2 linked regions of the Arabidopsis thaliana genome follow. The protein of the gene in region 2 binds, or shares a complex with, the protein of the main gene of each other region. Each region holds a gene or a part of one and is shown on either strand. Other genes may lie near its edges.

The links. The genes of interacting proteins can lie anywhere in the genome.
Region 1: AT1G79150 (region 2) and AT2G18220 share a complex: the UniProt entries of both Arabidopsis thaliana proteins name them as parts of the nucleolar complex.

The regions. Positions count from the first base shown.
Region 1 is NC_003071.7:7,926,454-7,932,503, reverse strand, and holds AT2G18220 (Noc2p family), read right to left. Parts: upstream 4,490-6,050; 5' UTR 4,442-4,489; intron 4,280-4,441; 5' UTR 4,251-4,279; coding exon 4,238-4,250; intron 4,152-4,237; coding exon 3,958-4,151; intron 3,858-3,957; coding exon 3,786-3,857; intron 3,696-3,785; coding exon 3,141-3,695; intron 3,053-3,140; coding exon 2,750-3,052; intron 2,649-2,749; coding exon 2,319-2,648; intron 2,225-2,318; coding exon 2,018-2,224; intron 1,897-2,017; coding exon 1,810-1,896; intron 1,588-1,809; coding exon 1,493-1,587; intron 1,406-1,492; coding exon 1,274-1,405; intron 960-1,273; coding exon 653-959; 3' UTR 551-652; downstream 1-550. Other genes in the region: PPa2 (pyrophosphorylase 2), read left to right, coding at 1-68, 160-241, 323-365. UniProt on the Arabidopsis thaliana protein: Together with SWA2, probably involved in pre-ribosome export from the nucleus to the cytoplasm.
Region 2 is NC_003070.9:29,771,999-29,779,942, forward strand, and holds AT1G79150 (binding protein), read right to left. Parts: upstream 6,019-7,944; 5' UTR 5,877-6,018; coding exon 5,713-5,876; intron 5,572-5,712; coding exon 5,411-5,571; intron 5,315-5,410; coding exon 5,118-5,314; intron 4,846-5,117; coding exon 4,637-4,845; intron 4,518-4,636; coding exon 4,415-4,517; intron 4,331-4,414; coding exon 4,167-4,330; intron 3,990-4,166; coding exon 3,851-3,989; intron 3,613-3,850; coding exon 3,439-3,612; intron 3,282-3,438; coding exon 3,145-3,281; intron 2,020-3,144; coding exon 1,687-2,019; intron 1,604-1,686; coding exon 1,464-1,603; intron 1,372-1,463; coding exon 1,274-1,371; intron 1,192-1,273; coding exon 718-1,191; 3' UTR 512-717; downstream 1-511. Other genes in the region: AT1G79160 (filamentous hemagglutinin transporter), read right to left, coding at 7,864-7,944. UniProt on the Arabidopsis thaliana protein: May be required for synthesis of 60S ribosomal subunits and the transport of pre-ribosomes from the nucleoplasm to the cytoplasm. Also required for initiation of DNA replication.

The DNA of each region.
Region 1 (6,050 bases), on a different chromosome or scaffold from region 2:
TCACTACAGAGACATCAAAGAGCTTCCCCCTCACCGTCTAGCTGAAATCCGTCGCTTCTTTGAGGACTGTATCCTACAGAGACATGTTGCATTTAACGTATAATTTTGTTTTCGCTTATGATTTGTTTTCAGTTTTCACTTAACAAACAATGTTTTTAGACAAGAAGAACGAGAACAAGAAAGTCGACGTTGAAGCTTTCCTTCCCGCTCAAGCTGCCATAGACGCTATCAAGGACTCCATGTAAGTTTGTTTTATCCCAAACACCAAATTATTTACACGTTGTTTTGTTAATAATGAGCAATGTACTGTTTTGAAACGCAGGGATCTTTACGCAGCTTACATCAAAGCTGGCCTGCAACGCTAATGAAGAAACCAGTCCTTTTCCGTTCCTCCCGGTTTGCTTAGACATCACTGAAGCCGCCTTCTATACTACATGCATGTTAGATAAAATTTCAATTGGTGCATTTAATTTCGTAATGCTCATCAGAAAACATTGTTGAACTTAAAGCTTTCTGATGATGATGAAAAATTTCCAGTACAATCATAAAATTTGAAATATTAGCTTTTCTTTTCCCCAAAATTTTGTTTAATGTTGTTTCGCAAACATCCGAAAAGTACTCTCATACAAATCGAAGAAGATACAAAAAAAACTTAAGAAGCTACTCGGGCCTTCTTCTTCTTGGTCTTTTTGTAAGCCTTATGCCAGGTCTTATAAGTGCCCTTAGTCTTCTTAGATGTCTTGGTCTCAGGATCTGCAATTTCGTCTACTGCATCATCTTCATCTTTGTCTCCTCCTATATCAAACAGATCCTCTTCCTCTTCATCAGAACTCAACACAAAATCCTCCACAACGTCATCTTCTCCTAAGCCTTGCTCATCCTGCTTCTTCTCTGTTTTACTCTTTCCACCTCTCTTCCTTTTCTTCTTTTTCGTTTTCTCTTCTTCCGGCTCTTTTTCTCTGTTAATTACACATTTGTTGTTTTAGGTTATATCACAACGGTCAGATAAAATATCTACGTTATAGGCGTAGGAGACAACCCGGTTCCCATCCTATCTATATTCTTAAGTTGATAAAGCCACCCATAAATGTCCAAAGTACTAAGAAATAAACAGAAGGCCTTAAAACCATAGACCCGACCAGGCCTAATCTATATTACTTGGTGATATTTGGGGAAGTAATTTTTAACCTACTCGCACCATACACTACCGTTGGCGGTGCTATACCATATGAAACCCCGATATGTGTGCATTTTAAGAGAAAGAGAGACATACTTGGAGTCACTTCCCGGTAACCAAGAAGAATTGAAAGCTGCAGCACCCTTTTCCATCCTATCTTCATCATCTTCATCATCACTGCTTGGTGCGTTTTTCCCAAAGACAGCTGAGTTCTCTCCCACAATTACACTGGAGAAACCAAACGGATTATTAGTATCCGTCAAAGTCATACAACAAAAATATACAAGTGATCAACTTTAGAGGAATGTAACGCACTCAGATTCCACCAGCGATTCGTTTCTTTGCTGGGCTCTTTGGCGGATAATTTCCGCATATTGCAATAGAGGGGTTTTTCCTGCTTTCTTCTCATCCTGAACAGAGAAGACCCAAAAAATAATTTGAAACCATGTTTGCAATCATTTTGGAGTAAACATGTGTTCTGTAATCATAAACAACTTGTGGTATCCCACAAAATTTTCGAAGAATGCAGCAGTAGTTTCAAAGACGGGAAGAAAGAAACAAATATAGGTTTTGTATTATCATCACTAACAATTGAAAAAATCAAATGGATCAAGAGAAATGAGTTACTAAACCTCAAGGAATGATTCAGCAGCAAGATCATTGGGTAGAAACTTAATCAAAGCTCTCTTTTTGTTGACAAATTCTGAGTTAGCTTCAATCTGAAAAGCAAAAGAGAGATTGAAGGAGTCATCAACACACAAGTCAATAAAGTCGGTTCTTTTATTGCAAGTACAAGAGACATAAAGTAAAACCGCATTTCTCTTTTTTTCTCTTTATTACCTGGCTGATGAGTTGCTTCATTTCTTTCCTAAACCTCTCAGCTTTCGTGGATTTGCAAAAGCTACGCAGCCTTATGGTCGGGATAAATGATAGTTCAAAGAAAGCAACGGAACAACTCCACTGAGACAAATGCTCCACAAGCTCCTCCACTACTGTATAAACACATGCCTCCTGAAACGCTCTTGTCTTCACTGCTGGTTTACTTACCTAAAAAGAGAGCCAATATCCAAAATGGTTAGTTTGCAGGATAAAGTTTCATTCTATACTCTATTAGTAAAGACCCAACCACGCAAGTTTTTACCTTCAGTAGTGTGCGTAAGTCTACACCTTTGCCAACACCTCCAGTGGGAGGTCTGTTGAGCTCCTTCATCTCTAACATGTCCACAAGAAGCATTGAGACAGGTATAAAGGTGCCAGTCGCAGCAGCAAGCCTGTTTAGCATACGAACACATCTTAGTCTAAGGGGAGTGTAGCGAGCCGTGGGAACCAGTCGCGCTACACCAGTTATTATTTGGGCTAGCGGATAAGCAACTGGTCTGAGTTCAGACTGAGAGCTGTAGGCACAAACAGCTCCAGTCCAAAGCTCAAGGCAATGGATGAATTTCCATTGATACACTTTTCGAAATGCTTCCTGTGAAAACAACCAAATGTAAATAAGAGTTAACAGCAACTTTTCTCAACACATAATTGTTGTCAGAAGAACTCAATTTATGAAGATTATTGAGAAAGTACTTTTGTTTTTGTGTTAAGCGCTTCACGCAGAATCATTGCCAATTGTCTTATGAAGACAAATGCATGCTGATATGCTGCAGAGATATCTGTGCCGAGAAGCTCAATGAAGCAGTTACCAAGAAACGAAATATGCTTCAATTTATCAGCATTCACAAACTGGCAATTCAACACATACGCTTTGTACATTCCCTTGAAACAGTCATCAACACAGTCAGATCCAAGGCGTATGCACAAATCTCTCAGGAACAACAAGGAAACAACAGGGAGCGCACCACTACCAGTTCCCCAGAAATGAAGTGCAACCTAGATGGCAGAAGAGCAACAATGAAGTGAGCAAAGAAAGGACCATAAAGAAGAAACATGAACAGAATACTATCTTGCTCCAACACACCTTAATATATTTCCTTAGGAGGCTAGGAAAAGCAGCTAAAAAAACCGATGAGTGCTTTAGGCGGCGCAGAGTAAAGGTTATCATTTCTGTGTCGGTCATCTGGTTCAGAACATGAAGGGAATTCCCAAGATATGATTTGACTAAATGATTATAGTTTTTCCAAGGCCTAGTGTTTGTGAGCTCCAATATAGTCTCTTTTGTTCCTCTAGTATCTTCAGGAAACCTTAACAACTTACGAAGAATCCCGTCCATTTCACTCAGAACATATATCATTATCTTATTAAACACCTCACTTGACATAACACTAAACTTTGTCGATTGATCGTCCCCGGTATCATCACCATAGTGACAGGCAGTTCTATAAGCTCTCAAGATAGAACGCACTCCACCTAGCTTCGCTTCATCTTCGATTGATTTACTCCATGCATCAACCATCGATGCTGTAATCGTTTTCTGCACGTGCACTTTCTTTGCAATTTCCATCTTTGTTGCTTCATCATCACCTTCCTTTTCAGTGTCTTCCAGGTCAGTATCAGGTTCAACATCAGCATCATCCTACAAAATGTGAATCCCTAAGACAAAAAGCTTCCAACACAACTGGAAGTCGAGTCACAAACTCAACATATACAAACTAACAAAACTCACCTCAATTTCAGTAGCATCAAACTTTAGAAGCTCTGCATCATGCTCTTTCATATACTGAAAAAAATCAGGATCCTGCGGAACAAAAAAATCCGTAAAGTTAAAAAAAAAACTCAACTTTCCACTAATATATCATTACAATATCGCAACCAAACATGTTTCATAGATGACTCACCTTTTCTTGAAGCCTCTTAAGCTCTTCTTCATGCTCCTCAGCTTCTGCTTTCTTAGATTTCACCTTCTTCCCACGCTTCTTATCGCTCTTCTGCTCCATTACTATATCATGTGCATCGATTTCTTGAACATTATTGAGCTCTTCCTCAGCTTCTAGTTTCTTAGATTTCAACTTCTTCACACGCTTTTTATCATCTACATTTGATTTAAAGTGTTTATCAATCTCGAATCCCTTAAGCTCTAATTACAATATAAATCCAAAAACTGGATAAAAATCGAACCTTTGGCACCCATTTGTTAGCACAACACTCTGATAAATCCACCTGCAATTAAAACCATCAATGGTAACAAGAACAAATCAGTTTAAGAGTCGAGCTAAAAGACAATAGTGTAAGAATTATCAATTCATGGAGAGAATCAATCACACAAACAGTGAAAACAAGGAGAAGAATAAACTATCGAAATCAAAATGAAAGAAATCGCACCGGGAACAACAAGAAGGAAGACGGAGAGAAGAAGAAATTAGGGTTTTAGGAGAGGGTTTTTATTACAGTGTTCCTTTGTTTTTTCTTTCAATTTATTTAACCGGACAAAACCCGGTTTGACTTCGGTCGAACCGTAATTCGAATTGTTCTACTTTCCCAGAACAGAACAAAAACAGAGTTCCCAAATTTGAGAAACCAGAGGGGCACGTTAACGAGAGATTACCTGCAATTCCCAGAAAAAAACTCGACGAGAAAAAATGAAGTTGTTGTCGTGGTCGCCGAGGCTGATGTCTGAGGAAAAGTTTATTGTTTTAGGGTTTATCTTTGTGAGTTTCGAAACGTCTTAGCGCAATGGAAGGTTTAGGTTTGACACGTCTACCAATTGGTTTAACCAAAAATCCAATTTGCGAGTGTTTAACCGAATTATTTAGGCTTTAACCGGCATGTGTTCTTCAAAATCTTTATTCATCTATGTCATCAAACCCCAAAGTATCTTATGCATGACATTTCCCAATCCCTTGTATATTTCAAGTTTTTTTTTGTTTAGTTATTTTCATTTTACCACATTTTTTATTTACTTAAAAGATATCAAATATTCATTATTTATAAATTAAAGTATTTTTGAAAATAACACATATATTATCGAACAATTCTTGAGTTCATCTTTACGATGAATTCTTTTTTTCACTTCCATTCTAAATACTAAAAGCATCTACATTGCATAATCTTTTATTAATGTCTCCAAGACCAACCATGGTAAAAATAGACTAACCATGATTAAAATTAAAAACATTTTATTTTTTAGATGTCTAAAATATCTTAAGGAAGATATTTTTGACATCCAAAAGGAAATGTCTTTAATTTTAACTATGGTTAGTCTTTAAGACATACATGAGAGGTTATGCAATGTGAATGGTCTAATTGTTTTTCATAAATCAAACATGATATATGATCTCGTTTGATTACAAAATCTAAACTCTAATTCTCTTTTTTAAATTCAAACCGATATTTAAACTCGTTTAATTATAAAATTTAAATCTAACCGTTTTTTCTAAACTCAAACCGATATTTAATCTCGTTTAATTATAAAATCTAAATTCTTTTATAAATCTTAACTGACATTTAACCTCATTTACTTGTAAAATATAAACTCGTTTATAAATCCAAACAGATAGCTAATTTTGTTTAATCATAAAATATAATCATTAATCCTCTCTAGTAAACCCAAACGGATATATAATTTCGTTTTGTGATAGATAAATTTTATAGTTAAATGAATAATTTTTTATTAGGTAGCAACATCCGATTAGGTGATTATTTACAGGAAGACTGATTATGGTGGTTTCGTGGTTAAAAGATTCACTATGGTAGTTGAATGACTAACTTTGAGTCTTACTACTAAGATTTCAATCATGTTAGCCACTGTGAACATTTTAAATGGCAAAATAAAAAACTCAATGTTCGCATAATTTATAATATTTTAGTGAACAAAAAAAAATATTGTGTTATTTTTCAAACTTTTTCACATAACTTATATTATTTTGGTCAGTAAATGTTAACAGCTATTTATAAATTTGTGTGTATCACGAATTTCATATCCTTTAAATTT
Region 2 (7,944 bases):
CCTAACATTTAATTGATTGAAAAGTTCAGATATATGATGCGATGTGAGTCTTGCGTGGATAATACACTATGAAAAGATGTAAATCCACTATAATGATTACACATATTTTTTATTGAATTTTTGTACTTATTAATTGAAGACCTATGATAATTCGAAAAAAATATAGTATAAAGTAGCAAATATCTTGTAGTAACGACGAGAGACTTATAGTTATAGGTGTATTAAAATGGGGTCTAGAACAAAAGGTCTCAACATGGCCGTATCTTCTTGTACCGTTGTACGGCTGGACTTTTTTTTTTTGTGGGGAACAATTTGCTGTTCACAGCGTACAACATACATTAGCTGAGATCTCCATCTCTATTTTTATAACAAAGTAAACGGTTTGTGGCGAACTGTTAGTGGATTAGAGGATGATTTGCGTATCTTTCAACTCTATGGCACATGTAAGACTACGTTGTTTTGTATAAACGATGGATTTTTATACGATGTTGGTACCACTTTATAAGAATCAGTTCGAATAAATAATCCTGAAAATATACGAGAACATCATAACTTATAAACACAAGTTTTTAGGATTACCAGGGTGGATGTGAATAAAATGAAAAATACTCTTCTTGTTGATTTCACTCTTTAACAAAATTGTACTCGAAAAATTTCATTGAAGCGTTTAATTTAAGCAAAGTATATAACCGTTAAAGCGGGAAAACAAAAAGCCTTTCAAATTTGCTTTTTGGATTTAGGGTTCTTAAGTTTCTTCTTCACCACGTTGTTCTGTTTCTTCAATGGTTTTTTCTCTTCAGACTGCAACAACTCCATTCTCACTCTCTCGTCCTCTTTTATATCCCGAAGAATAGTAAAGTTCTCTTTCAATTTCTTGCTGAGCTTAACCATGTCTATTTCCGGAACATTCTTAGCTTCTTCAGGCAAACTCTCCCGTTTCCGTTTGTTGTTCAATTTCCGAGACTCGTTCTTCGGCTCAAACGATTCCTTTACAAGAGAGAAATCTGCAAAAGCCTGTTGTGGAGTCACTGCAGAAAGAAATGTTTGGCTCTGAGAAGTGTTCATGTTGGAGACTGTTGTGGCCATTGTTGAGATCGCAGGATGATAATGTTTACTCAAGAGACTGAGTTCCCAAAGCACTGTTGCTAAAGCCCCGCTTAGGTTAGGATCTGTTGCATACGGCTGATATTTCTGCAATCGAGAGATTTCGCTAAGCAACAAATCATATTACTAAAGTTAAATCTGTATACGAGGCTAAATATTTGTGACTTACTGCAATTGAACCGGAAACAGAGCCGCCTCCAGCATCGTTCTCTAGAAGGTTTCTGCATTTCACGTTCTTCTGAAGCAGAGTTTTCAAAGTGACTAGCGCTATAAAAGAAAGACAATTGGAGAGACTGAGCGACAGATTTGAGATAAGGGAAATGCGATGTGTAATTCAAAGTATTTGTAATGTTTATTACCAGACATAGATTCGGCACATCCAAAGCATAGCGCGAATGTGGCTAAACGTTTTACAAATGCAGCTGCTTTTTGCATGTCTTGATGTCTGTCGTCGCACAACATTATCTTCAGAGACTCAGCCAAGATTACACCTGAATCTCTGTATCACATCACAAAGTGTTTTAGACTAAACTAGATTTAACTTATGTCGTGGTTAAAAAAGAGGAAAAAGTTATAACAAACCTTCCAGGGCGGTACTCGAGAATGAGGTTGTAAAGTTGGACAAAGAAGTCTTGCAAGTCAACATTCAAGGCATTTAAGTTGCTCCTCATGACTTTGAAGGCGACAAGGCAACACCTAAGGCGTTCAGATACTGTCAACAGTTTTGAGTTTTTCTGCTTTGTGTTGTTGGAGACGCTGCTACTGCTAGAAGCAAGCTTCTTGAGATAGTTCATTAGATCTCCCATGTAGTCCAAGTCCAGTTGTTGGGTGAATTTTGCCAACCCATCCAAGCATGGAGCTAGCAAAGGGTGCGATCCAAAGGCACCCGGATTTGAAGTTGGAATTTCTTCTGTTCTGAAATTTAGTGAAAGTGACGTTGTAAAATAGAATTAAAATAACTGACACAGACATATGACCAGTTAAATAGTTATCTGTGACTGTAAAGCCAACGAGAATTCACACCAAGAATTTTACTGGAACCGATTTTGCAGACGGGGAAATATTCTTTTGAGATTTTGATAAGAACATAAGCATTATTTAATTCCTACTCACGACAACTGAAAACACAATTTAAATTAGCTTTTAAAATATATGAAAACTAGATTTTAACCCGCGGTACACCGCGGAGACAATTTATTTTTTAAAATTAATATATATAAAAATTTGTAAATTATTTTATAGTTTACCATTGTTACTAAGTAACGTCCTGCCAAACCCGTCCTGACAAACCCGTCAACAAAAAAAAACTATTTATTTTATTAATGTTGATCTTATTTATAATATGTTTATGAATCATTGTCAAAATATTTTAGTCGTTGCGGGACGTTGAACCCACACATTTTTCGCCAATTGGTTAATATATGTTCATTCATAAAATTTCGAATCACAAAATATGACGATTTGTTTTTGAGATTTTTTTTAACTCTATATATTAAATAATGATGTTAATTATTTTTGATAGATTAAACTTTTTATAAATTTAAATATTAATAATGTTTTATGAAGTTTAAATATACAAATAATAATATTTAAAAATTAATATTTTTTGCCTTTTAGGTAATGATATAATAACTCTAAAAGCAAAAATTTAGAAGATTTAAATCTGTAAATAAATATTTTTATGCCTAAATAATTAATGTCAGTAGCGTGACATTGTAAATAAGTTCAAATACATGATTTGTTTATTTAAGCAAAAAACGTTTAGTAAGAACAATATTTTTTAAACAAAAAACTTTGTTTTAAAATATTGTTAATAAAATACGTTTATGCTAATTTTAAGGGATTGATGTGAACTTTGTTTGGATTAAATTTGATTGGATTAAATTTGATTGATAATGTGATTGACAATTTAAATTAAAAATTTTAAGTAAAGTTAATTATTTTGGAAAAAATATTTAATGCTAATGGCATTGGGTTGTAAATAAGTCCAACTTTAGGATTTATTTGCTAAAATGGTTGCAAAAATGTATATATAGATACCTTTCGCCAATTGTATACATTGTGTTTCTCAGGATACGGAAATAGGTCTCAAAAACAGCAGAAAGTGTCTCTGTCTGCATCTTTCGCCGCTCCTTAGCATCCGGTTCATAGGTAACTCCTCTGTGATCAGCAGAAACCTAAGAACAAGTAATGAAGAAATATCAATTTATAGCAAACCAATAGTACGACGGGAAATCAATTTTAGATGTTTTGGTCATATAAATGGTTGTCAATGAAAGAGAAAACAAGATTAAAACACCAACAAATCTATGGCACAGAAGGAAAGTAAATTACCTCGTCTCTGATCTTAGACATCATATCTTTCTTTGATTTCTTCCTCTCATTTTCCTGCACTTGATTTTGCTCCTCCTGGGTTTTTCTTTTATTATTTTTCTTATATTTCTTGTTATGTTCATCCTCTTTGTTAGGCTTTCCAATATCCTCATCAAAGCGAATGGACATGAACACCTAAGGATCAATAGAAAAATGGAAGCAAGGGTAAATGAGAACAAACACAGAGATAAGAAATATAACCAGATTGCTCCTCAGTTATTAAGCGCTTGCAATAGTCTTACAAAATGTTTTCCAATGATAATGTGAACTTCGTGATTTAGTTTTTCAAACAGGAGCAATTATAACACCTTTACTCAGTGATTGGTGTGTAAATGTGTGGTTCTTAGAATGTTAAAATAATACCAATGAATACCTCGATAGCATTAGGATGAAGTTGGCAGTTGTGAGCTTTGACATGATCAGCAATCAGGCGTACAGCTTGCACGGTCAGCTCACCACCATGTTTCCCTTCATTTGAGAAAAGATACCTGATAGTAGAGCAACAGAGTCTCCTGCATACCCAAACCGGTGCAAGAAATGAGTTAGATAGGAACGAAATGGATGCAATTGCAGTAAAATGACATGACTATGACACAAGAGATATTAACAGTTCTACTTTACGTTAGATTCCATGGTATATCAGTTAGACATTATTCGTCACTCTGAAAAAGGGTTAAAAGAACCAGGACCTTACGACTTCATCTGGGGAGCTGATATTTCTGACAACAGCAATTAACAGGTTATCACGGTAGTTGAAGTGAGGAACTGCTTCCAGCAATGTACAAAGGCACCGATTGGCAATTTGGTTATATACTGACTGCTTTTCAAATATAATCAACTTCTGCAGATATGACTGTTAAGGACATCAGAAGCAAAGGAAAACGTGTTACAATTATACTCAGAGAAATCAAGAATAATATATAACTGACATGCACACCTTGTAAGCTTTTAATAAAGTCGACTCATAGAACCGGGTTTTCTTCACTTCCTTTGAGATCTTCATCTCGAGCTCCTTTTCTGTAGGAAGTCTAATCCGATAGCTGGCACCACAAAAAAAATAAGAAGAGCTAATTACCAACATAATTAAAGGGGGAGAATGAAGAGAATAATTAGCAAATCAAATGAGGAAAAAAGGTACATAGAAGATTAATAAAATTACCCAGGAATAATATCTTTAAATACGGCCAACAGAGATAACAAGGCAAGTTTCACAATCTTCGTATTCTGATCCTTGCAGATATCTAACATATCCTTCAAAGTTTTTATGTTTGCCTCTGGATCAGAAAGTAGTAGCATTCCCAATTCCGCGATTTTATTTTTCTTATTTTCAAATGACTCTTCAGCAGATAGTTCTTCTTTCACTTCTGCCTGATGAAGGAAGAGAATCATTCACACGTTAAAAAAAAACATGATGAATGGATATGGAAAACACTAAAACGCTCCAAATTACAAATTACAAATACCAATGATTAAACGTTCTTATAAATTCTTTTAATGGAAAGATGTTAAACGATGAAGATGCAGAAAGCTATCAAATATGATGCTCAAAATGAAAAATGATGTCAAAGAACGAACAATGAAATTTTTAGCAACTTATATAATGAACCAAGAAAAAAAGAGAAACTCAAAACAGGCAATACCAGAACAGCGGCTTGGGGAGTTTCTTCTTCCTCTTGTAATATCTCATCAGGCAAATCTTTCTCATGTTTCTTTGCCTCCCTTTTACTCTTTTTAGCTTTTTCTCTTCTTTGAGATTTGTTCAATACATGTTCATCTTCAAGAACATCCTTCTCTGCTTCATCTGTTTCGGCTTCAGCTAGTTTTGACTTCTTTGACTCTGAACCAGTAGCCACAAAACAGAAAAACCTCCACTTAGAATGCTACTCAACTCGAGCCATTAAACAAAAAACACAAGAGTCTTCTCATTTCTCACCTGTTCGATAGTGAAGTTTTCCATCTAAAGTCTTGACAGGGAGCACATCAACAGGATCCACAAGGATCTCGCCATTCCCTTTCTCTTCCTGAAGTGTCTTCCTCTTTGATCGTTCTTCTTCATACTTATCCTCCACTGTCATTACTCTACCACCACATTGCCTAACAACAGCGTAACAAGATATTATCAATGCAGAGATTCAAACTCGATTCGGACATAGCAAGTATTGATTGTGGTAAAATCAACCCTAATACTAAAAATCACCAAATTGCAAAACAATTCGAAAAGAGACGTAAACGCACTTATTGATAGCGGCGGTGTCAATTTGAGAGACGAATTGGGCGTAATCTGTGTTCTCTTTGACATACTTCAAATCCTCGTCGGAAAACTCAATATCCTCTTCGGCTACATCTGGCGGAAGCAGCGGTGGAGGTATAACCTTCTGTTTACGCCTATTTTTGCCCATTATCACCACTGACTCAGAACCAGCAACAAAGAAGAGGCAGTAATGGAATTGGAAAATGAAAACTGTCTGCACACACACACAAGGATATCGAATCGAACAACTTCAAATTAGGGTTTAGGGTTTTTGTGAAGAGGGTGGAAATAATAAAATAGTATAAAAATAAAAACAACATGGGCTAGGCCCATTTATTTATACCGCTGTTTAATTGGGCCAAAAAAGAATCTCTCTATGGGGATTCATATTGGGCCAAAAAATGTGCTGGTCAAACGTTGTCGTACGTGCTTCAATAATGAAAAACATGGACAAATAATGAATTGTTCACATTTTCGGATATACGTATGACTTATAATTACATGTAACTATGAGAAATCACATTTTCATACGATATCGTTTTTCTCGTCTTATTTTGTTTTGGTGGTTTTCCTGAAAAGCACGAGATGAAACAAATATGCCAAAATCAATTAATGGAGAGATGGCAAATAAGTTGACACGTGGAATTTACATTGTTTTCGTAAAGGAAATGACCAAAGTTCATAAATGTAGCAGGAGCATTAATTACAATTTATTAGAGGTCACGATCCCATTAATTGAATTCGTTTCTATTAGGATGAGTTTCTCCATTTCTCTTCTTTTTTTCTTATTTCTTTTTCTATATCATTTTCCTATAATCTGAAATCCACCTAACGAGAAAAAAAATCGTACATCAACTTAGGAGTTTAGGACTAGTTTCCATTGAAGATGAGACTTAGATATTTAAAATATGTTTGTCATATAATTATAGACGTAAACCTAATTTTCGAAACTTGTAACGTACGAAAAATATACACTAGCTAGATTTTTTTTGTTATGGATAAAGATGAATATCAAACCATACAATCTATACGATACGTATCCCATCCGGAGTAATGTATTAATGCCACACACATACAAAACTGTTTAATGCAAAAACTATACTACCTACGAAATATTATTATTTCAGGTCCACCGTTAGTATAAATTCTATCGTAATAAATCTAACTCATCTACTCGTCGGTCGTAGTATAATATCGGAGAAATTACGTCCATGTAATATATGCTCGTCGTGAGTATTTGCATTTCTACATTTCCTTACCTCGTTGACATTTTAAAAAAATACTAATAAGATAAGTTTACTACTACATGTCTACATGCATATCGGATTTTAATAGCCGCGATTTATTACGTTAGTTGCAGACTTGCAGTTATTCGTATAGTATGTGAATATGTGTGCTCTGTTGACCTAAGCATTTGAAGTTAGGTCAGCATAACTTTGAATGACCTTAAAAAGTTAAACCTCACATAAATTACAACATTGAATGTCCTTCAAAAAAATTAAACAGTTGTCACATTTATTTTTGCCTTTTTCTTATAATCAATTTTTGTCCAAACACAGAGATTGAAAATTTATCTTTAATTGGGTTGAGAAACATGTTTGTTGAAGATATCATGCATGCATGCAAACACAACTTCCTCATTTCATTTAGTAATTAGTAGTCATCAATTTCAGGAAATCATAACCACTCAGATAAGAGAGGCATTTGGATACAATTTCAAGCCAAACATTATCAAGGAGTTTTTTAAAATATATAACAAAATTGACAAATAACACTATTAATAATAGTTTTTTTCTTTTCATAAAAAGACAGTGCATTTAGATGGACATATACAATGAATTCAAACTACCTTCCAACCAACCATGGACTACGAGTTTATTCAAAAGTAGAAAATAAGATAATTGTAACATTAATTGTCGTCATTTAATTGACTCATTTATTCCGTGAATTACTATGTTTCTAAATAAAATTCTTGTTGTTGTTCAACTAACGCATTTACAAAAAACACCATTAACATCCTTCTAATCTTCCTTCCTTACCATCAATTTTTTCTTCTTTCTTAAGTTTTACAAAATAAACCCCCTGAATTGTTATCTATCATTTACAAAAATGTTCCAATATAAACTCCAAAACATTCAGATTGATATGTTGAGATCAATCTTAGGCTTCTTCTTCATAGGATTTGTAGGCAAAGGAACAATGGTATCACACCTCGG